5 linked regions of the Oryctolagus cuniculus genome follow. The protein of the gene in region 1 purifies or fractionates together with the protein of each later gene. This does not show direct contact. Links are inferred from orthologs where the notes say so. Each region holds a gene or a part of one and is shown on either strand. Other genes may lie near its edges.

Region 1 (3,983 bases):
CCCCCTCAGGCCCCCACCTCCTCCGCAGCGGCCCGCCCACCTAGGCCCCCACTGACGGCATGGCCACCCGCTGTCACCTGCTGTTAACAGGGCCAGCTCTAGGCGCCAGCAAAACCGCACTCCGACGCCGGTAACAGGAAGGTTGGGCCCTGCGGGAGAAACGGAAGCGGGCCCGGGAGCACCCAGGCTAGACGCCTCCTCCTCCAGGCAGCCCGGGACCAGCACCACGACGCCGCAGGGCGCCTGCCACCGCGGCACAACCGCGCACTCTTCCCGCAGGCAGCACAACCAGAGCCGAGCCCACCCCACGCCCGGGCACACGGGAAGGCGACCCCGCGGGAGCATCACCCGCGGCACGGCAGGAGTGCGGGGCCGGTGCGGGCAGCCCGGCCACGGCACTGCCCAAGACAAAGGGGGCGGCCTCTGCGCCCCAGGCCCGAGCGCGCCTCCCGCCACCCAGCGCGGGGGTCTACCGCACCGCCGAGGCCCCCGCCGCGGCGCAGGGAGCTCAGCTCTGCATCGCCCCCACGCATACAACGCGCCCCGCGCGGGACCCGGGGGTGAGCCGTGGGCGCAAGCACAAACCCTCCAGCGCCGGGACGCACAAATGGCGTCGAGGCGGGAGCCAGGGCCGCCTCCGGCCCCTTCGCGTCTCTTTCCTTCGCGGGCCAACGGCCCCAGCGCCCCCACTACGAGCCTCCTCCGCTGGGGAGGCCGCGGAGACGCCTGCAGCAGACGACACCCACATGCCCCAAGGCCGATGCCCAGCACACGGGAAAAGCGCCCAGCCCCGCGAGCCCTCCGCCGACGCCAGCCCCAGCAGCCTCGCGCCACGTGCACGTCCAGCCGGAACCAGACGCACCCCCGCCGTCCCCCGGTCACCTCCTCCGGCTCGGGCTCCCGCTCCTGCCCGGGATCCAGCCGCCGCTTCCCCGGCCGCAGTGCCAGCGCCACGGCGCGCCCAGCACCCTGCACGCCCGCCATGCTCCGCCGGCCGCTTCCGGCAGAACCTCGCAGCCGCATGCGCCTGCGGGCCCGGGACCGCCCCGCCGGCCCTGATTGGTGATTGGTCGGAGAAGGGGCGGGGCCTCACTTGCGCAGGCGCGAGGCGCGCGCAGGTGCGCAGGCGCGTTCCGGGGAGGGGCGGGGCCGGCACGCACAGGCGCGCAGGCGCACGCCAGGGCCGCGGCGGGCGGGGCGCCGGCGGGAGCGCGCCCGGCGCAAGATGGCGGCGGCCATGCGAGGCCCTGGAGTTGCGTGTGCGCAGCGGGCGGCGGCGCGGCCCGGGAGACAGGCGCGGCGACGGCGCTAGCCCTGCCCTCGGCCCCTCCTCACGGCCACTCCCTCCGCCTTTCCCGGCGTCGCCCGACATGGACCTTTCCGTGGGCCCCGGCGCGGCGGGGCCCAGCAACGTCCCGGCCTTCCTGACCAAGCTGTGGACCCTCGTGAGCGACCCCGACACCGACGCGCTCATCTGCTGGAGCCCGGTGAGGGCCCGCGGGGGCGGGGAGCGCCGGGGGCCCGGGGCCTGGGCGGGGGCCGGGGAGGCGGGCCGGCGGGGCGGCCGGAGGAGGGCACGGCCCGGGCCCGGCGCTGCAGGCCCGCTCTCCGCCGCGCAGGCCGTGTGTGGGCCGAGGCCCGGGACCTCGGGGAGTGACCCCCGGCTCCTCTGCGCGCGTTCTCCGCCTCCTGCCTCCTGAGCCCGCAGGAAGTGTTCTTGGCCGGGCAGGGCCCGGACCTCGCGGGCCCTCTGAGGGGTCCTGCGCGCGGACGCTCCGGGAGCGGCCACGGCCCCCTTGCTGTCTTGCTTATTGGGTCGGGAGGCGGCTGGGGAAGCGGGTGCGCCACTCTGGGCTTGGAGTGGGAAAGGCCCCACCACCTGTGGCCCTGCCGGCGCGTGGTCCCTGCGGGCCACCGGGACCCGACACACAGCTGACGGCGACCCCAGACCAAGCCCTGGCTTCACAGCGGAAGGCGGCGCTGCCCCAGGCTGGCTGCCTGGGCACAGTGGTGCTCTGGTCACCTTGGCCCGGAGGACACCCACGCAGGGCCCGTAGCCTCTGCAGGGTCACTGCCCAGAGTCCAGCTCGCCAAGCGTTGGGGAGGGTCTGAAATCCACGCCCGAGGGCCTTCTGCTCCTCCCCGAAGAGCCGGGGCTGCCTGTCAGCAGGGGTGGGGTGGGTGGAGAGCGCGGCCTGTGTGGGGCCCGGTGTAGCCCCTGCACTTGCCTGCCCTGGCCTGAGATCCGGACTCCTGTCAGCCACAGGCGTGGGGAGGACGGGGCAGTGAGTCACCACCCAGAGGGTCTGTGGGGGCAGGGATGCTGGCTCCGCGCCCTCCCGGGCAAATCCTCCTCCAGTTCAGGCTGCCCGAGGCAGCCAGGGCCCCCCCCCCCCACACACACACCGGCCCAAACCCCTGGGCGGGTCTGCTGGGCGCAGCAGTCAGACTCTGGGGGGCCTGGGGGCAGGGGGACACGCAGGCCCCAGTAGCCAGGTTGCTGGGCGCGAGGTCGGGGTTCCAGGTGGGTCTGTGCACCTCGCCGCAGGCCTCCCACCGCTTCCCAAAGAGGCAGAGGGGGCCGAGGACCCGGGTGAACAGGTGGCTCCACACTTGGGGCATGAGGCCGGTCCCTCAGCCCCGCTGCCTGCTCCTGGTGCCGGGGCCTTGCAGGGCTGAGGGCCAGCTCCGAGCTCCCAGCCCAAATGTGCGTGAGCAGTGGAGGCCGGGCGCGGCCGGGACGGAGCCCACCTCTGACCGACCGGAGTCCTGAGAGGGTGGAAGGCAGTTTACAAAGCGGCCTGGGTGTGGGGTTGCAGACTTTGCCGGTGCAGGTGGGCGTGTCCTGACCCGGAGGCGGCAGCGCCCTGCAGGGCTGGCTGGGGAGGTTGCCAGGAGAGCGCTGCCCCTGCTGAGCACCTCCCTGGCCTCTTTGGGAGGAGGCTGTGCTGTCCGCCAGGTCTGCTGGGGGCAGGGCGACACCCAGATGAGGGGTTTGGGAAGCGAGCCCCCCCCCTGCTGTGCTGAGCCAGGTGGGCTGGTTCCCAGCAGGCCCTGAGGCACAGGGCGAGGGCGCCCCACAGTGGCCGTCACAGGCCCTCTCATGGGTCCCCTTCAGGTGGGCGGGGGGGCGGGGGGTGCTCAGCACGGTGAGGCGGGAGATGGTAAAGACAAGTCTGGGCTCTTGCCCAGGCCGGCCAGCGTCACTCCCGGGAGGGAGGCAGTAGGGCCCCAGCACACCTGCCTCACAGTCAGGATTCAGAGGGTCCCGCCCCCTGGAGCGGGCGGGTGGAGGGACGGATGGACGGACGAGACAGGTTCTGCACTGTCTTCCTGTCCCTGGGGCCAAGGCAGGTAGGGCTCAGTGAGGACAGGCAAGGGGGTTAGAGCAGCGCCGGTGTTTGCTCCCAGCCCCTCAGTGAGGGGAGGGGCCGGCAGACAGCTCCCACAAGGCCCACGGGCCCCAGAGCCTGCTCCTTGGATGCAGGCTTCTTGGAGGCCTGGCAGGAGGAGGAGCCTCATGGGGGACGGGACGTTGGCCCCCAAATGTGTGCTGGTGCCCAGCAGCCCTGCTTCTCCCTTCTGGCCTCGTTGGTCCTGGGTGAGCAGAGAATTGTCTGGGCTGCATGACCCCGCGGGCCCAGGGCAGAGGGTCCCAGCCAGCCTGGGCAGGGTGAGAGCCAAGCTAGGACTGGGGAGGGGCTCCAGGAGTCGGCCCTCCTCTCTGCCCCACAGCTCCTGGCTACCCCACGGCTCCCTCGCCCCACGCGAGCCATGCATGTGCATCTGGGCTTGGGAGCAGAGCACACGCTGCACGCAGGTCTTGGCTGGGCAGGGTGACTGACGGGCCTGCCGTGGCCAGGACACAGCCTGGGCCTGAGGAGGGGTCCCGTGAGAGGCAGTGGCCAGCAGCCCTTGTGGCTCGTGGAGCCCTTTGAGGAAGGAAGCCACACGTCCCTTCTCCACGTGCAGCGTGCATGCAC
Region 2 (4,153 bases), on another chromosome or scaffold:
CTGGCACTGCAGGCGGCGGCTTTACCCGCTATGCCACAGCACTGGCCCCATATTGTCAGCTGTTTGAGCCACAAATGAGCTATGCTGAGCTGAAAGCAGGCGCCAGCTCAATGAACAGGACTCAGACCCTGGGACCACTGGTGATTTAGGGCCCCCTCCATGGGGCCCTGAATCTGAAGACATCTGGATGCTGGCTGAACCATCTGCTTGGCACACAAGTGCCCACAGGAAGGGGCTTCTCTGACAGGAACGCCTACAATCAAACTGCTGATCAGCTGCTGTCTCTGCTGCAGAGGCTGATTGCATTCCTGAAGTCAGATCTGTGCTGAAAGTCACCAGCTGGGAAAGGCACGTCACTGAGACTGTCACCTTTGTGCCTGCTTCGACAGTGCTGCTGTTTGTTGGCTCAGGCTCAGCTTTCGGGATTAGTTGCAGCTCACGACATTACCTGATAGTCTAACTCTGCTTCCCTTCACTTTTCTCGAGTACACACAGCCAAATGAGGTAGGTTGATAAAATGTTACTGTCCCCAGAAAGGGCTTGGTCTTTTCCAGCCTGTACATTGGGTAGACAGGACAAAAACAGAGGACAGTGATATACACTAATTTGTAAATTTCTGAAAATTTAGAATTTTATCCTCTACTAGTCTGCTAGGGTTACCGTAATGAAATACCAGAAACTGAGTGGCGTAAACAATAGGAATTTATTTTCTTACTATTCTGGAGGCTGGGGGTCCAAGAGCAAGGTGACAACAGGTTTGATTTTTCCTGAAGCCTCTCTCCCCGGCTCACAGATGGCTGCCTTCCTGCTGTGTCCTCCCAGAGTCCCTCTGTGTGTGTGTCTCTGCGTCTTATCACCCCTTTCTATAAGGCCACCAGTCCTATTGGATTAGTGCCCACCCTAACAACCCCATTTCAACTTCATCTCCGCTCTAAAAGCCTATCTCCAAACACAGTCGCATTCTGAAGTACCAGTGATTAGGGCTTCAACAAGTGGATTTTGGGGGATACACCCCATAGCATCCTTACAAGCTCCTGACTGTGTCTTTCTATTACGTTGTGTACAGATCTGTATCTGCAAAGCTGTCTTTGTACCTCCTGTATACAACTCTTCCATACAAAAGGCCTAAAAAATGATTGAAAGAATGTAAAGTTAGGATTGTTGAAGAGGACTAATTTTGTAACATTGGAGAAATAAAAACCTGGCACCTGAGGAGGCCTGATACTTGTTCTTGAGAACTATTCCTGAAAACCTTCCCCTCTTCCTGAAGGGTAAGTTCCCCGCGCTGCCTTTCCACCTGTTGGAGTGCTTGGGGTTCAGACGGCGGACAGTGGGGGAGGGGAGGGCTCCAGCACTTTGTATACCAAACACCTTCGCTTGCCATCCACACTGACGAGTAGGATAAACTTGTGTCGTGAACAGGCAAAACTGGGACTCACTGCCTTCAGGAAGTTCCTCAGAAACCAAGCACTCTGGGAACTTTTCTGATGGGCCTGAAAACATGGTAGGAGTCCACAGGGGGGCCCCTTGTTAACCTGTTGTGCCTGATTTATGTCCTGCCCTCATTTTGTAAAGGCGTTGTATCCAGGGGTGCCACCTGGGCCTCTGGGGTTGTACTTGTCTATGTGACCCTGACTGCCCTGACCCTGCACCAGCCCTGGAAGGGCTTCAACCTGCTGGCCAGAGTCCTGCCGTGCCTGAACTGACGCCTCAGGTCAGTTAGCATGGTTTACATCACCCAAGGCGGAGGCCACCTGGCTTTCTGAGATGGACTTCTGCAGTTATGGGAGTGATGGGAACCGGCTAAACTTCAGACCCGTAGCAGGCGTGACTGAAACCACAGTGCAGGACGGTCTTGCCTCTTCACACGCAGTCTTACTGGTAATTTTTCTGTGAAGAAGCCTCAGCCCAGAGGGTGAGTGGTGCAGAAGTTAATAGAGAGGTGATAAGCATTAACGGAGCAGGCTGCGGCTGGCTCCCCTTCCGAAGGTCTGTTTGCAAGGTTGACCCTGGGCTGCTGTCTGGGAGCTTAGATTTCAGGTAGGTTCTCACCGCTCCTGCGTGCCGTACACCTGCTTCTCCTGAGAGTCTGGAGTTCTGATAGGTGTTAGGCAGAGGCCAACATCATGACCAGCACCCAGTGAAAATTGTAGGTAGTCCCAACTCATTGCTGGAAGAAGTCAGGGTGTCCTTTGTGACTACGCTGGGAAATGACTGGGAAACTCACACCTGGGTTCCTCTGGACTTCGCTCCGTGTGTCTTTTTCCTTTGCTGCTTTTATTCCTAGCCTTTCGCTGAACTAACTCACAGCTGTGAGTTCAAGTGTGTGCTCCGTCCTGCGACTGTCCTAGTGAATCATCTAACTGAGGGGTGGTTAGGGCACAAGGAGGGCTTCTTGGGTGTTGGTGGGGTTCTCGTTCTCAGTCTGAGTGTTGTTTACATGGGGCATGTTTACAGTTTGTGAAAATGTGCCGCTAGGATGTGAAAATTGTCCTGTGGAGTCTTCCAAATATTAGTGAAAAGCTAAAATAGAGTACACTTGATGGGGATTTTTAAAAAAATGATGATTAAAAGCAAAAACCCTTGCTTTTACTCAGCAACCATTTCGGTAATACCCGCACCAGCCACGCATGCTGCACTGCCAGTTGGCATGAGGTGCTGTCTTCGTTGCACCAGCCTAAGTGGGGGCCTGGTCAGGAGGAGCTTGTGCTCTGATTGTCGCTACTCAGAGACCGTCCACCTTCGTGTTCTGCTGTCCCAGGGTTGTCAGTCAAGGGCCTTCGGAATGGGCGCAGGCGGGAGCTGGGTGCTGTGGCAGACTGGGAGGGTTGGTCAGTCCAGAGTGGTTGGCACCTCGGATTATTTCAGAAAAAGCCACAAATCTGAATTTTTGTGTGAGCCACCTTTATTTATTTTTTTTTGTAACTGTATTTATTTTGCCTAATTTGAAAGGCAGAGAGAGAGAAAGAGAGATTCTCTATCCTCTGTTCACTCCCCGCATGTCCACAACAGCCAGAGCTAGGCCAAGCCAGAGCCAGAAGCCAGGGACTCAAGTAGCTGAGCGGTGACCTGTGGCCTCCCAGGGTGTGCATTAGCGGGAAGCTGGACTGAAGCAGAGGTGGGACTTGAAGCCAGGCACTTTGACAGGGAATGCAAGTGTCCCCAAGCCCAGCTTGAGCTCTCTTTGCTGTGAATGAATTCAAATTTTCAAAGTGGAAAACCACACCAAACAGCCTGCAGCTCAGCTGTGGCTGTGACCTGCCCGTCTCTAGGCATTCTCCCAGCCAGCCTCCCTCTCCCGCGTCCTCTATTTTAGGCACTTGGGAAGGCGAGCCAGGCAGCTTTCCCGCGTCCCGTAGCGGGCTCCAGTGTGTGTAGGAATCACCTGGGCAGATTCTGACCTGGGAGAGCTGGAGCAGGCCTGAAGCTCCAGGTGATGGTGATGCTGCTGGCTCCTGGACGGTGCTTTGAGCGGCGTTGCTGTGTAATGCAGAGCCCTGGAGGGGACCAGAGGCGTCCCGTGAAGGTGCCTGCTTTCACTTAGATTCCAGTTTATTCGGGGTGGCTCGCCCGAGGGCCCGGGGCAGGCAGGCGGCTGCCCTGCAGGTCAGCTGTGGCTCTCTTAAACTGCCTCTAGGCGCTGCGGGGTCTCTACTCTTGGGAAAAACTTGCCCGAGGGAGCGTGTGAACCGCAGGAGCGGCCCGGCTCCCCAGTAAGGGAGAAGCCCTGAACGAATTCCCCTCTACCCGGGGCTGGGGCTCGGCCTCCCCAGGCCGGGGACGCTTTCCCAGGAGAGCCCACGTGTCTACCGTCGGCGCCTTGCTGTCAATCAAGTGTTTTCCTGCCCGGGTCCGGGCTGACGGGCGGGCGGTGCGGAGCGCTCCCATGGTCCCGCGCGGCGGGCGGGTTTGGATTTTAAATCCCCGCGGCCAATCAGTGGCGCGCAGGCTGTTGTAACGTTCCCAGCGCCGCGTTTGAATTCGGGGAGGAGCAGTGCGGTGCAGAGCCTCTGCCCCGACCCTGCCAGGTCCGCCGAGCAGCCCCGGGAGCATGAGTGCAGCGCTGAGTGCAGCAAAGCTGGCGCGGGCGCCGGCCGACCCAGGGAAGGCTGGCGGCCCCGGAGTGGCAGCTCCCGGAGCACCGGCAGCTGCT
Region 3 (4,108 bases), on another chromosome or scaffold:
AGGAAGACCTTTTTCTCTCTCTCTCACTTTCCACTCTGCCTGTCCAAAAAAAAAAAAAAAAAAAAAAAAAAGGCAGTGTAGCAGAGAGAGAGGGGGAGACAGAGATCTTCCATCTGGTGGTTCACTCCCCAAATGGCTGCAACAGCCAGGGCCAGGCCAGGCCGAAACCCAGAACATGGAGCTCCATCTAGGGCAGGCCAGAGCCCAAGCACTCAGGCTGTCTTCTGTTGCCTTCCCAGGCCCAATGGCAGCGAGCTGGATCGGAGGTGGCACGGGCAGGAATTGACCCAGCACTGAGGTGGGACCGGCGGCTTAAGCTGCGGTTAAGGGCATTGAAATGGGGGAGGTTTTCCTGGTGATCTGAGTGAGTCCAGTGTGATCACAGGGTCGTTCTGTGTAAGAGGGGTGCTGGGGAGGACAGGAGATGGGAGCAGTGCTGGCGCCACGTGGCCAGGAGCGGGAGCAGCTTCCGGAAGGAATCCCATGCTGCCCACGCCTTGGTTTTAGCCCAGTGAACCTTATCCGACTTCTGCCTTCAGAAATGCGTGGTGTGTGCCGTGTTAAGCCACCGACAGCAACAGGAAAACACCGTATGGGTACTGCCAGGGCCAGACGCCTGGCTGACAAAGCTCCCTGGTGTGCCCAGGCGGCCCAGCTGTCTGTCGCCCCATCTCTGCCTGAGATACCCCGCTGAGGGCCCGGCAGGAGATGGATACCTGCGGCCGAGCGCGGTGCCTGGAGGAGCCGAGCCGGGGTTTCTCTGAGCCCGACCCGGCCCAGCCCAGCCCCTGGCCCCGGCTGGGTGCACAGAATCGTCACTTGCGATTCCCTCCCAGCACCTGGCACTCTGTAAGGGAGAAGCGAGGGGAGAACAGGGGGCCCCAGGGCAACCACCATTTGACAAATGGAGAAACTGAGGCAGAAGGTGAGGCGGTGGGCTGGGCCCAAGGCGGCATCGGAGGTTGAATACAAGGTGCAAGACCCCTAGGGCTCCAGCAGAAGGCAAAGTGGATGCCCAGGCGGAAGAGAAAATGAGATTTGGGGTTGATGCCCAAACCGACCTAGGGCGCAGCACCTGCAGGAAAGGGGCGTGGCCTGGGGAGGGGCGTGGCTTAGCGGTCGCGGGAGGCCTAGAACAGAGGCACAGGGGCGGGGACGTGGATGCAGGCGGGGGCCCCGGGTCGGAGCCAGGCTTGGGGGGCCCACACCGGGGCTGCAGTGAGGGTGATGGGGCGGGGCTTATCCCGAGGCACGGCGTGGGGGCGGGGCCTGGCTGGGAGGGGTAGGATGGAGGGCTCCGGAGACCTGCCAGCTGCCTCGGGCCGCTCAGCCACCCGAGGTCGGCTGGGTCCGCCCAACACTTCCGGGTTAGAGCGCGCGTACTTCCTGTCAAGATGGCGGCGCCCAGCAGAGTCAGGTGCGGGCGGCTCTGAGTCTCTGAGCGGCCGCAGCCCGAGGTCCTGGAGGTGAGGTCTGTCCCGCTGCGCCGCCCCCTTCGGAGAGGAGGGCGGAGACCCTTTGCGAAGGAGGCCGAGGGGCGGGCGGGCCTGCCGCTACGGGGGTTGGGCCGTGGGGCTCGCCCGGCGCGGAGATGGGGCTGTTGCTAGGGAGGGTGGGTGGGGCCTGTTGCCAGGGGGCAGGGGGTGCCTGCGGCTCTGGGGCGCTGCGTGGATGGGGGTCGTGCGGGGGCTCCAAGCGTCACCTTCTCGGCAGATCCCCGGGAGCCGACCCCTCAGGACGCCGGGGCTGCCCCAGCAGCGACCCCTTCTCCCTCGCAGCACAGCGTTCTCCTGCACACACGGCCCATGGCGGACGAAGGCTCGGGGGGCAGCCGCCTGCCCCTGGCGCTGCCCCCAGCCTCCCAGGGTTGCTCCTCGGGGGGCAGCGGCTCCGCGGCGGGGGGCTCGGGCAACTCGCGGCCCCCGCGCAGCCTGCCGGGCCTGCTGCAGATGGCGATCGCGGCGGGCTCGGAGGAGCCGGACCCCCCTCCGGAGCCCATGAGTGAGGAGGTAAGGAAGGGGGACGCCGGGCGGGGGTGCGGGACCGGAGGCCGCGGTCTTGGGAGGGGGCGGCAGTCCTGGCGCGTCAGGCCCCAGAAGCGTCTGGGAGGACAGGTGCTCGCACCCCAGAACTTTTCCGGGAGGTGCAATAGCCCGGTGGGGGGTGGCCAGGGACTCCGCAGAGCTAGGCAGGCCTGGGTTCGGCTGGATCGGCGCCGTGACCTTGGATGTAGGAACGGTACTTAACTCAGAGCCTCAGGTTTGTCGCTTGTAGACCGGCGATGATTGACAGTACTTGAGCGGGCACTTGGGAGGTTCCAGTTCAGGAAGGGCGGGCAGCAGCCAGGTCGCCCCCAGGGCACAGGCTCCGCTCTGTCCGGCTTCAGGCCTTGCCGACTGCTGACCGCGGGACCCTGGGGCGGTGGTAGCCTTCCCGTGCCTCGGTGCTCTCTCCGTGAGTCGGGGATGATGGTGATAGCTCACAGAGCTGTTGGAAAAGCCAGAGTCACAGAGAGAGAGGCAGAAGGGTCTTCCATCCGTTGGTTCACTCCCCAGATAGCCGCAACGGCCAGGGATGGGCCAAGCGGAAGCCAGGAGCCAGGAGCTTGACCGGGGTCTCCCACCTGGGTGGCAGGGGCCCAAGCACTTGTGGCATCCTCCGCTGCTTTTCCCAGACCATGGCCGGGACACAAACCGACGTCTTTGTCGGATGCCGGCGCCAGCTACACCACGACACAGGCCCCTCCTGGAGTTGTTCTGAAGATTGGTAGCAATATTATGCTACCAATAATATTATACATTTTGTTATTACAATGTATACCATATTATATATTGTTATGTAGTCGTTATGTAGTCGTGCATAATGTTTAATCGCCGGTCACCGAATGGGAAGCGTTTGCTAATCCGCTCTGTGCGTCCTGTTTTGAACCTGTGCCACAGGGAGGAAGCCAGATTTGTCCCGGCCCGAGCAGAGCCCTTTGTGAGGCCTTCGCACGGGGCCCTGGGAGGGACCCACACTGGCCAGTGCTCGGCTTTCACCCCGACCCGATGGCGGCCTCCCGTCATTCCCTCCCCTTGGAGCTCTTCCTTTGTTTGTTTTGCTTTCTTTTTCTTTTTTTAAGATTTTGCTTATTTGAAAGAGATCCTCCATCTGCGGATTCACTCCCCCGATGGCCGGGGCTGGGTCAGGTGGAAGCAGGGACCCAGGAGCATCATCTGAGGCTTCTCCACGTGTGCAGGGGCCCCAGCACCTGGGCCGCCCTCGCTGCTTTTCCCCGGGAGCATTCGCAGGGAGCTGGATGGGAAGTGGAGCACTGGGACTCAAACCGGCGCCCATACGGGATGCCAGCACTGCAGGCGGCGGCTTTACCAGCCATGTCCCAGCCCCTAACCTCTCCCTGACCCCTGCCTGGTGGCAGCCCCGCCTCAGCGCCGTGGGGCCCGCTGGCACCTGTCCTATCTCCCCTGGCACACTCACTCTGCCCGTTTTCTGCAATATCTGCTCCGGGACCAGACGCGACTGCCCTCAGAGCAGGGGTTTCTGCTGGCCCAGGGCTGCGTCCCCAGTGGCCGCCGCCGGCCCTCAGGTGCTGGGCATCCTGGGTAACGGCCGCTCCTCCTTGATGAATTACCGACAGGTGTGTGCTTTGCTCCCCCGCAGAGGCGTCAGTGGCTGCAGGAGGCCATGTCGGCCGCCTTCCGGGGCCAGCGGGAGGAGGTGGAGCAGATGAAGAGCTGCCTCCGCGTGCTGTCGCAGCCTGTGCCCTCTGCAGCCGCCGAGGCCGAGCTGGCCAGCGACCAGCAGGAGCGCGAGGGCGCCCTGGAGCTGCTGTCCGACCTGTGTGAGAACATGGACAATGCCGCAGGTACCCCGGCCTGCCAGGGCGCCCCGCCCCGCTGTCCTCTCTCAGCTCCGTCACGTGAGGGATCGGTCTCACAGGCCCTGTGCTGGTGGGCGCTCGGCCCCTCCCCCCTGCCCCCGTGGCTGCGTGACAGGCGTGTACCCCTGTCTGTTTCTGGAAGTTGGAGGAACTCGGTGGGGCGCGGGCTGTGTTCCCCCCAGGGGGTGGTCACCGAGATGGGAGGTCAGAGGGGGCACCCCAGTCGCT
Region 4 (4,061 bases), on another chromosome or scaffold:
CTCGGCCGCCCCGAAGAATGCTCCTAGGCCTTTAGTGCAAAATCCCAGGTGGGCAGCTGGGGCGCCGCAGGCTGAGCTGCCGCGTGGGCCGGACCGAGTGCCTAGGATGTGGCACCACCTCCACTTCCGACCACATGGGAGACAGCAAGGGACGCTGGAGTCCCGGGGTCCCTGGCCCTCAGCTCCCGGGGAGGCCTGCATGGAGCCCCTGGCTTCGATCCGGCCCAGCCCTGGCTGTTTTGGGCATCTGGGCAGGTCTGCCACTCTGCCTCTCCAACAGAAACAGAGCGACCCCGGGCCCCCCCAGACCTCCTCAACTTTGAACCTTCAGAGGCGACTTTTATCAAAGGTTCTGCTGGGGCAGCTGGTTACCAGAAGCCTGGGGGGCATCCGAGGCCGGCTCCGGTTGGTTCGCTAAGCCTGGCGCCCATCTGAGCCGCCGCAGGAGCACACAACGCCAAGCCCACCTTCCGAGCCCCCGCCCGGGGCGCCGGGTCCACTGCTGGGCCACGTGTGCCGCTGCCCGCCCAGCCGCCACACTGACGGCAGAGGAAGCGCGGCGGGCGGCCCAGGTCCCGCTGCCCACCCCACCATGACCAAGCCCCTCGCGGGCGCGACCTCCAAGCTGCTGGACCGCGGGGACAAACACCTGCCGCGTGGTTACGGGGGACTAACCGAGCGCTTGTGCACGGCTCACAACTCTACCCGCAGCCCTCGGGAGGCACGTGGGCCGGAGGGCGCTCCAGCGGCCAGGGAGTCTGGGGCCCCTGGCTGGCCGGCGGGCCCCCGAAAGGGCCACTCGGAACTTGGCCGAACCTCAACTTCCGGCGCCCTCGGGCTGACCCGCAGGAAACCGCCGCGACCCCTCGCTCCAGAGCCGCAAGCAGGCTCAGCGAGGAGCGCGCACCGGCGCCCTCCCGCGCACACGTCTACCGGACCCGGCTACTTTCTGGAAACCGAGACCACCGCCCCGCGTTCGCTCAGTTCGCCGCGCCACTCGCTCGCTCGCCCCGCGCCAAAAGAGCCCGTCGCATGACGCATGCGCCGGGACGACCGGCCGCGGAGGAACACTCTGCGACCCGCGCACCCCCGGGCCAATCAGCGCCGGCCTTGCACAAAGCAAATCCCGCCTCCAGGACGCGGCCGCCAGACCCCCTTCCCCTCCTTGGCCGCCTGGGCCCGCCCACTCCGGCCCAATCCCCGCCCCACGCCGCGCACAGTTAGCGGCTTGCGATTGGCTCGCGCGACGGACGCGAGCTCTGATTGGTAGAGGAGGAGTCACGAGGGCGCCGTCGTCGCCTTTCCAGAGGCGATTACTGGGCAGGCTCAGTCTTTCGCCTCAGTCTCTAGCTCTCGCTGGCAGCCCGGCGTACGTGCTCCGGCATCTTCAGTCACCCGCGGCCGCCATCGACGCCGCTCGGGTTCCTCTAGGCTCGTCTGCGCCACAGCCGCCGCCGTCGTAAGCCGCCATCATGGTGAAGCTGGCCAAGGTAAGCGCTGAGGGCGCGCGAGCGCGAGCGCCGAGGCCTGCTGCTCAGGAGCGCGCGCGGCGTCGCGGGGAGGAGGGCCTGCGCGCCGTCCCGGGCGCGTTCGAGGGCGCCATGCTGTGGGAAGTCTCGCGCGACTGGCGGGCAGTTCTCGCGTGTCTTGGCTGCTTGGCGGCGAGGTGCGGCGCGCTCCGGCAGGTGCTGAGGGCGGCGTGGAAGGCTGCGGCGCGGGGCGCGGGGCGGCGGGAGGAAGTGAGATCCAACTCGTGCGCCGCGCGCGGGCCGGGCCCCGCCTCCGGCCGCACGTGCGCCGGCTCGCGGCCCGCCACGTGGGCCCCGCCGCGTGGGCCGCGGGGTGGCCGGGGCCCGCCGGCGCGAACCCGCGGCCCTGGCCCAGCTGCCCGGGGCCCCCCGGCCGCCGCCACGTGCGCCGGCCCCGGAAGGAGGCGCCGGGGTGCGTGCACATGGTGGCCGCCGGGCACCCCCACGTGGCCGCGGCCAGGTGAGAGGGGCAGGCCGGTTGGGGTCCGAGGTGGCTTTGTTACTTTTATGCTTTTGCGACGCTGGTGCTGCCCGGAGTTCCGACGAGGGCGCTGGTGGTGTGCGTCGGAGGCTGGGGGGGGTCCTCCCTGGAAGAGTGGCCGCTGGCTACTAAGAAGGGTGCCTGGTGCTAGGGTTGAACCCAGGGGTGAATTAAGTGGTTGAGGGTAAAAAAAGGCAGATGGGTTATTTCATCACCTTGGACTTGTTTTTTAGGTTTTGTCAAGATTGACAGGGAAACTCTGATGGGCCGTACTGTTGGTCAGTTTCAGGATCGGTTATGTTTAATGCTGAAAGTGCGTTGAGGAGGGTGATGGTTGTATTTTATTGTGGGCCGTGGAATCGATGAGGGGTGTTCATGTCCTCATTGTGTGCGTTTTAGGCTGGTAAAAACCAAGGTGAGCCCAAGAAAATGGCTCCTCCTCCCAAGGAGGTAGAAGAAGATAGTGAAGACGAGGAGATGTCGGAAGATGACGAGGATGACAGCAGTGGAGAAGAGGTAACTGGGTCGCGATCGAGGAGAAATTGGGTTGCACTTACACAGTGGACAGAATGGTGTTGGGTGTCTGAAAAGGATATGAAAAGTAGTGTGTTATTCACGTGACCCGGGGTGGGGGGTGCTTAGATGGCAGGAGACCGTTGGGTGAGTACCTGAGTGTGAGCATCTGGGATCTGTGCCCTCTGCACGGCTGGAGTGAGGTTGATACACTTCTCCTGCTCAGCATAAAGGACCAGGTGGATTCTGTCCCCCCCCTGTATGTAAGGTTTGTAGCGATTGGGTGGGTTGAAGGTGCCACCTGAGCATTCACGTTCATTGCTTGCATGGAAAGTCGGTTTTTTAGAATTCAGCAAAGACTTTACTCTTAAGTGAACTATCTGATAAACTAGGAAGTTAATGAAAATAGCTTTGAATAGGAGTTAAAATGTAGGTAAATAATGGTTCTTACAGATACAGTGTTTATTTGATGTGCTGTAATTTGTAAGGGTTGCTCAGCCAATTTAAGGCTGATTTTTATCTCAGGTCCTGTCTCAGGACAAGAATCCTGTACCACTACCCACTGTATGATCCCCAGATGATTTTTAATATTCAGATTTATTTATTTGCAAAGAGAGTTATAGAGAGGCAGAGTTCTCCCATCCACTGGTTCACTCCCCAAGTGGCTGCAACGTCCAGAGCTGGACCTATCCGAAGCCAGGATCTTCTGGGTCTTCACGTGGGTGCAGGGGCCCAAGCGCCTGGGCCATCTTCTGCTTTCCAGGCCACAGCGGAGAGCAGGATGGAAGTAGAGCAGCTGGGGCTTGAATTGGCTCCCATATGGGCTGCCGGCAGCAGTTTTATGTGCTACGCCACAGCACTTTACTTACTGTTGAACCTAACATGTTAACATGGAACATATGCAGTCTTGAACCAGAGGCAGTGCCAGAATCCACCACTGGGACCAGGGCTGCCTTTCGGATGTAGCAGAACTAACTGTTGGTGTTTGCTGTTTAGATAGTCATCCCACAGAAGAAAGGCAAGAAAGCTGCTGCGGCTCCAGCCAAGAAGGCGGTGGCTTCCCCGACAAAAAAGCCTGCGGCTGCCACTCCTGCCAAGAAAGCAGTTGTCACTCCAGGTAAAAAGGGAGCCGCCACCACGCCAGCGAAGAAGGCCGCTACCCCAGCCAAAGCGGTGGTGGCGTCGGGCAAGAAGGGGGCCGCGCTGGGCAAAGCAGTGGTAGCGGCCTCGGGAAAGAAGGGAGCGGTCCTCCCCGCCAAGGGGGCCAAGAATGGTAAGAACGCCAAGAAGGAAGACAGCGACGACGAGGAGGAGGAGGAGGACAGCGAGGAGGACGACGACGACGAGGATGAAGATGACGAGGAGGACGAGGAGGATGAGTTTGAGCCGGCGGTCATGAAGGCAGCAGCGGTGGCCCCCGCCTCCGAGGATGAGGACGAGGAGGACGAGGATGAAGACGACGATGAGGACGAGGACGACGACGAGGAGGACGAGGAAGACGGTAAGGAAGTCATGGTGGCTCCTGGCTCTGGGAGGTT
Region 5 (4,163 bases), on another chromosome or scaffold:
CTCGAACCAGTGCCCATATGGGATGCCCTCTCCCATATGGTGGCCCCCACACTGGTTTTCTAAAAATGCTCTTATAAGTCAGAAAATTCTTCCTGCCTAAGCTCATGGCCTTTCTCATTTTTCTGCAGCTCTTGCAGCTTCATAACACAGGAGATGACTTCCTTTTTTTTTTTTTTATCTTTTCTTTATTTTTTTTAAAGATTTATTTTTATTTGAAAGGCAGAGAGAGAGAGAGAGAGAGAGAGAGAGAGAGAGAGAGAGACAACGTTTTCCGTCTGCTGGCTGCAACTGCTGCAGTGCCAGCATCTCATATGGACACTCGTTTGAATCCCAGCTGCTCCACTTCTCATCCAGCTCCCTGCTGAATGCGCCTGGGAAAGCAGTAAGTAGAAGAGGGCCCAAGTGCTTGGGCTCCTGCAGCCCCATGGGAGACCCGGAAGAAGCTCCTTGCTCCTGGTTTTGAACTGGCCCAGTTCCTGCTGTTGCAGCTATTTGGGGAGTGAGCCAGCAGATGGAAGACCTCTCTGTCTCTCTCTCTCTCTCTGCCTTCTGTAACTCTGCCTTTCAAGTAAATAAATAAATCATTAAAAGAAAAAAAGAATTTAGGCTCCTATCCCACACCATACACAAAAATCAATCGAATATAAATCATAAACCTTTACGTAAGAGCTAGAACTATTAACATTTAAGAAGAAAACAGGAGAACTGGGAGAGACAGAGCCCCCATCTGCCAGACCACTCGTCAAATGCCTCAGCAACAGGGTGAGGCCAGGATGAAGCCAGGAACCCGGGACTCAGTCCAGGTCTCCAACGAGGGCGGCAGGGACCCCATTCCTCTTACACTGGCTGGCTCCCAGGGCCTCCATTGGCAGCAAGCTGGAGTTTGGAGCATCCAACTCTTAGATGCGGGACACTGGCGTCCTCCCGCCCCAGGCTGGGTCGTCTTCCTTCCTGCTACCTGTCACCTGCGCAAAGCTGTCTTTCTCTGCTATATCCTCAAGCCTCGTTACACAGTGGACCCTCTAACGATTAAATGAATGGCTGCATCGACAAAGGTCTCCATTTATGAGAAAAATCACAGAGGGTGCAATTCTGGCAGATTTATTAAAACTTGGACGGATTCGGTCTCTCCCGCCGCGACGCCAGCAGCTTAGACCGTAAATCCGCCCGACGCCCCGAGGCAGCCTCGCGATTAGGGAGGCGGGACTTGAACCTAGCCCGACCACACCCCTTCACGTTCGCATCCCTTCCGCCTATGGGCCCGCCTACTCCGGCTCAATGTCCACCTGTAATTGGTGAGCTCGTCAGTCTATCTGAGAAACTGAGCGCCCATTGGATCAACTGCTAGATGGGGTTGCGCACTTCCCGGCGTTAGGAACGCGGAGCGGACGTATGCTTGCCGCCATTGCTCTACTGCAAAAGCGGTTGTTCGTGTGAGGGGCTGTGGGGTGCGTGGCGGGCGTTCTGGGCCTGGCTGCGGGAGGCGTGGTGGTGTGGGGCTGAGCGGCCGGAGGGGCTGGGCCGGGCCGCGCTAGATGCAGCCTTAGCAAGGTGGCGGTACAGGCCGGGGTCTCCAGAAACGTTCCTGCTGCGCTTGTTGTGGGTCCGGGCCTTGTCGCTCATTAATTGTTGCATCCCGCTGCTGCTCAGAGTCTCCGGGCATGGCCGGAGTATTTCCTTACCGAGGGCCGGGTAACCCGGTGCCCGGCCCTCTAGCCCCGCTGCCGGATTACATGTCGGAGGAGAAGCTGCAGGAGAAAGGTGAGGAACGGGTGTGCGGCGGCGCGCGCTGGCCTGGAGACGGCTCGGGTTGCGAGCTTGCGTGTGTGGCCGGGGTGGAGTGTGCGCGTGCGCACCAGTGGGTTTGACATCCCCCCCCCTCCCATTTTGGCAGTTCGTTAGGTGTCAGTTCCCTTATGAGTGACACTTAGTATTTTTAAAAAATCGAATGAGGTAGTTTGCAGCGTCTGGATCAGCTGGCGCTGATCCGGTGGAATACAGTAGTAATGAAGACACGTCTGCCATTATGGGATTTGAATTGCAATGAGGGAGTTTGACAATAAAAGCCTCGAACACCTGTGACAAAAACATCAAGCAGTGTTAAATGTGGTGATGAAGATGGCAAGGGAGGCGCCCTTTCCCGCTGGGTGCCCTGCTGTCCCCAGACTTGTCTTCTCTAACAGGAGCTTACCCTAGGACAAGGGGGTGGGGTGTAATCAGGCTAAGAGTGTGCATTCAGCCCTTTAAACCGGGGTGCTTTTGTAGCCCGAAAATGGCAGCAGTTGCAGGCCAAGCGCTATGCAGAAAAGCGGAAGTTTGGATTTGTGGACGCTCAGAAGGAGGACATGCCCCCAGAACATGTCAGGAAGATCATCCGAGACCACGGGGACATGACCAACAGGAAGTTCCGCCATGACAAAAGGGTCTACTTGGGGTAAGGATTATCCTGAAATCATTTCGTTTGGAGTTTGGCCTTCTCTTCTCTCTACGGAGGTTGCTGTCCTGGAGAGATGCTCTGACATTTGGAGGTGGGAGTCCTCTTGGTTGACTCCATTTTGGTGGTTATGAGAGACAGGAGAACATTTCTAGGATTTACTGGTAATTTTCAGATATTCCAGTTAATGCACTTTAGTGCCCAGATTCCTCTTCCTGATCTGAGACTGGTGCTTTAATTTGTCGTTTTAAAAAAGATTTATTTATTTATTTAAAATGCAGAGCATCAGCTGGAGAGAGATTTTCCAGCTGGCTGCAACAGCTGGTGTTTGGTCCTCTCTCCAGGTCTCCTATGTGGGTGACAGTTCCCCATGTACCTGGGCCATCTTCCATTGCTTTCCCAGGATCGTTAGCAAGGAGCTGAGTTGGAAACAGCAGCCAGGAATTAAACTGGCACTCTGACATGAGCTGCCTGTAGCCAGTCTGCGGCTTACCCTCTTTGTGCCACAGCGCTGGCCCCTTAATTTGTCTTATTGGTGCTATTAAAAGGTGCTTCTTTTATTGAACGAGTTGAGGTCCAGAGTGGGACAGTCTGGCTGCCTGTAACTTCGCAGTGACCAGACTTGTTGTATTTGGGGTGGTTAACTCCTGAGTCCTCTGTCCTCATGTTTCTCTGTCCCTGAGCTGAGTGAATACAGATAGAAAAGTCACAGCTAATCTTTGTTCCATTTGAACACAAAGATGTTAACTGTGGAAGTTTCATTTATTTAAAAAATATTTTGATGTGTGTGGATTGTGCTAGGTGCCAGGGGTATAGCAGTGAACAGGTACTAATGATTCCTACTTTTCTGGAGCATTATAGTCTGGTGGTGTGGCCAACACGAGACTACCAGTTACAATAAAGTATGGTGAATATTTGATAGTTTGTGGGAAGGTAGAGAGAAGATAGGTTGTGAGGGAGCTTCAGAGCTGTCTGCAGAGGGGTAGCTGTTGATTTCAAGGGATTGATGCCCCTAAACTGGGGGACTGTGAAGTTGAGGAGGAAAAGAGGCACCTGGTGAAGTAGGAGAGGGAGAGGCAGGATTCCTGGTCGGGGGGGCTGTGTGCTGACGGGAGTCTAAACTGTCAGGGAAGATTGCCCGTGGAACACGATACTGAGGTAGCATGGTTCTCTACATAGGACAGGGAGCAGAATACCTTGTCGTTGCTAATGATCTCTTCCCAATGTGGCAGGGCCCTCAAGTACATGCCCCATGCTGTCCTCAAGCTCCTGGAGAACATGCCCATGCCTTGGGAGCAGATTCGGGATGTGCCTGTGCTGTACCACATCACTGGAGCCATTTCCTTCGTCAATGAAATTCCCTGGGTCATTGAGCCTGTCTACATCTCCCAGTGGGGGTAAGCGAGGCTGGCACACGGTGCGTGTGGTGATGCTGGTCGGGAGGCAGTGAGTAGAACTTGCTATACTGTGGTACTCTGGTCTGCCAGGTCAATGTGGATCATGATGCGTCGAGAAAAAAGAGACAGGAGGCATTTCAAGAGGATGCGTTTCCCCCCTTTTGATGACGAGGAGCCGCCGTTGGATTATGCTGACAACATTCTGGATGTTGAGCCACTGGAAGCTATTCAGCTAGAGCTGGACCCGGAAGAGGATGCGCCTGTGTTGGACTGGTTCTATGACCACCAGCCTTTGAGGGATAGTAGGAAGTGAGTGATGGTGGAGTTACCAC

What was found. The genes of interacting proteins can lie anywhere in the genome.
Region 2: the proteins of HSF1 (region 1) and PLK1 purify together in Homo sapiens (affinity purification with western blotting; 3 studies listed by BioGRID and IntAct, with this or other methods). This does not show direct contact. The link is inferred for Oryctolagus cuniculus from reciprocal best matches to the Homo sapiens genes HSF1 and PLK1.
Region 3: the proteins of HSF1 (region 1) and HSPBP1 purify together in Homo sapiens (affinity purification with mass spectrometry; 5 studies listed by BioGRID and IntAct, counting the BioPlex papers as one, with this or other methods). This does not show direct contact. The link is inferred for Oryctolagus cuniculus from reciprocal best matches to the Homo sapiens genes HSF1 and HSPBP1.
Region 4: the proteins of HSF1 (region 1) and NCL purify together in Homo sapiens (affinity purification with mass spectrometry; 3 studies listed by BioGRID, with this or other methods). This does not show direct contact. The link is inferred for Oryctolagus cuniculus from reciprocal best matches to the Homo sapiens genes HSF1 and NCL.
Region 5: the proteins of HSF1 (region 1) and PRPF8 purify together in Homo sapiens (affinity purification with mass spectrometry; 3 studies listed by BioGRID). This does not show direct contact. The link is inferred for Oryctolagus cuniculus from reciprocal best matches to the Homo sapiens genes HSF1 and PRPF8.

Annotation. Positions count from the first base shown.
Region 1 is NC_091437.1:168,053,747-168,057,729, forward strand, and holds the start of HSF1 (heat shock factor protein 1), read left to right. Parts: upstream 1-1,183; 5' UTR 1,184-1,370; coding exon 1,371-1,487; intron 1,488-3,983. Other genes in the region: ribosome biogenesis protein BOP1, read right to left, coding at 883-984. UniProt on the Homo sapiens protein: Functions as a stress-inducible and DNA-binding transcription factor that plays a central role in the transcriptional activation of the heat shock response (HSR), leading to the expression of a large class of molecular chaperones, heat shock proteins (HSPs), that protect cells from cellular insult damage.
Region 2 is NC_091450.1:15,675,920-15,680,072, reverse strand, and holds the start of PLK1 (serine/threonine-protein kinase PLK1), read left to right. Parts: upstream 1-1,353; 5' UTR 1,354-4,051; coding exon 4,052-4,153. Other genes in the region: DCTN5 (dynactin subunit 5), read left to right, coding at 294-460. UniProt on the Homo sapiens protein: Serine/threonine-protein kinase that performs several important functions throughout M phase of the cell cycle, including the regulation of centrosome maturation and spindle assembly, the removal of cohesins from chromosome arms, the inactivation of anaphase-promoting complex/cyclosome (APC/C) inhibitors, and the regulation of mitotic exit and cytokinesis.
Region 3 is NC_091449.1:3,620,615-3,624,722, forward strand, and holds the start of HSPBP1 (hsp70-binding protein 1), read left to right. Parts: upstream 1-1,308; 5' UTR 1,309-1,466; exon of another isoform or gene 1,467-1,471; intron 1,472-1,713; 5' UTR 1,714-1,805; coding exon 1,806-2,009; intron 2,010-3,660; coding exon 3,661-3,865; intron 3,866-4,108. UniProt on the Homo sapiens protein: Inhibits HSPA1A chaperone activity by changing the conformation of the ATP-binding domain of HSPA1A and interfering with ATP binding. Interferes with ubiquitination mediated by STUB1 and inhibits chaperone-assisted degradation of immature CFTR.
Region 4 is NC_091434.1:7,817,194-7,821,254, forward strand, and holds the start of NCL (nucleolin), read left to right. Parts: upstream 1-1,261; 5' UTR 1,262-1,472; coding exon 1,473-1,490; intron 1,491-2,409; coding exon 2,410-2,526; intron 2,527-3,519; coding exon 3,520-4,024; intron 4,025-4,061. UniProt on the Homo sapiens protein: Nucleolin is the major nucleolar protein of growing eukaryotic cells. It is found associated with intranucleolar chromatin and pre-ribosomal particles. It induces chromatin decondensation by binding to histone H1.
Region 5 is NC_091448.1:47,208,467-47,212,629, reverse strand, and holds the start of PRPF8 (pre-mRNA-processing-splicing factor 8), read left to right. Parts: upstream 1-1,363; 5' UTR 1,364-1,448; intron 1,449-1,527; exon of another isoform or gene 1,528-1,650; 5' UTR 1,651-1,661; coding exon 1,662-1,761; intron 1,762-2,265; coding exon 2,266-2,434; intron 2,435-3,666; coding exon 3,667-3,831; intron 3,832-3,921; coding exon 3,922-4,140; intron 4,141-4,163. UniProt on the Homo sapiens protein: Plays a role in pre-mRNA splicing as core component of precatalytic, catalytic and postcatalytic spliceosomal complexes, both of the predominant U2-type spliceosome and the minor U12-type spliceosome.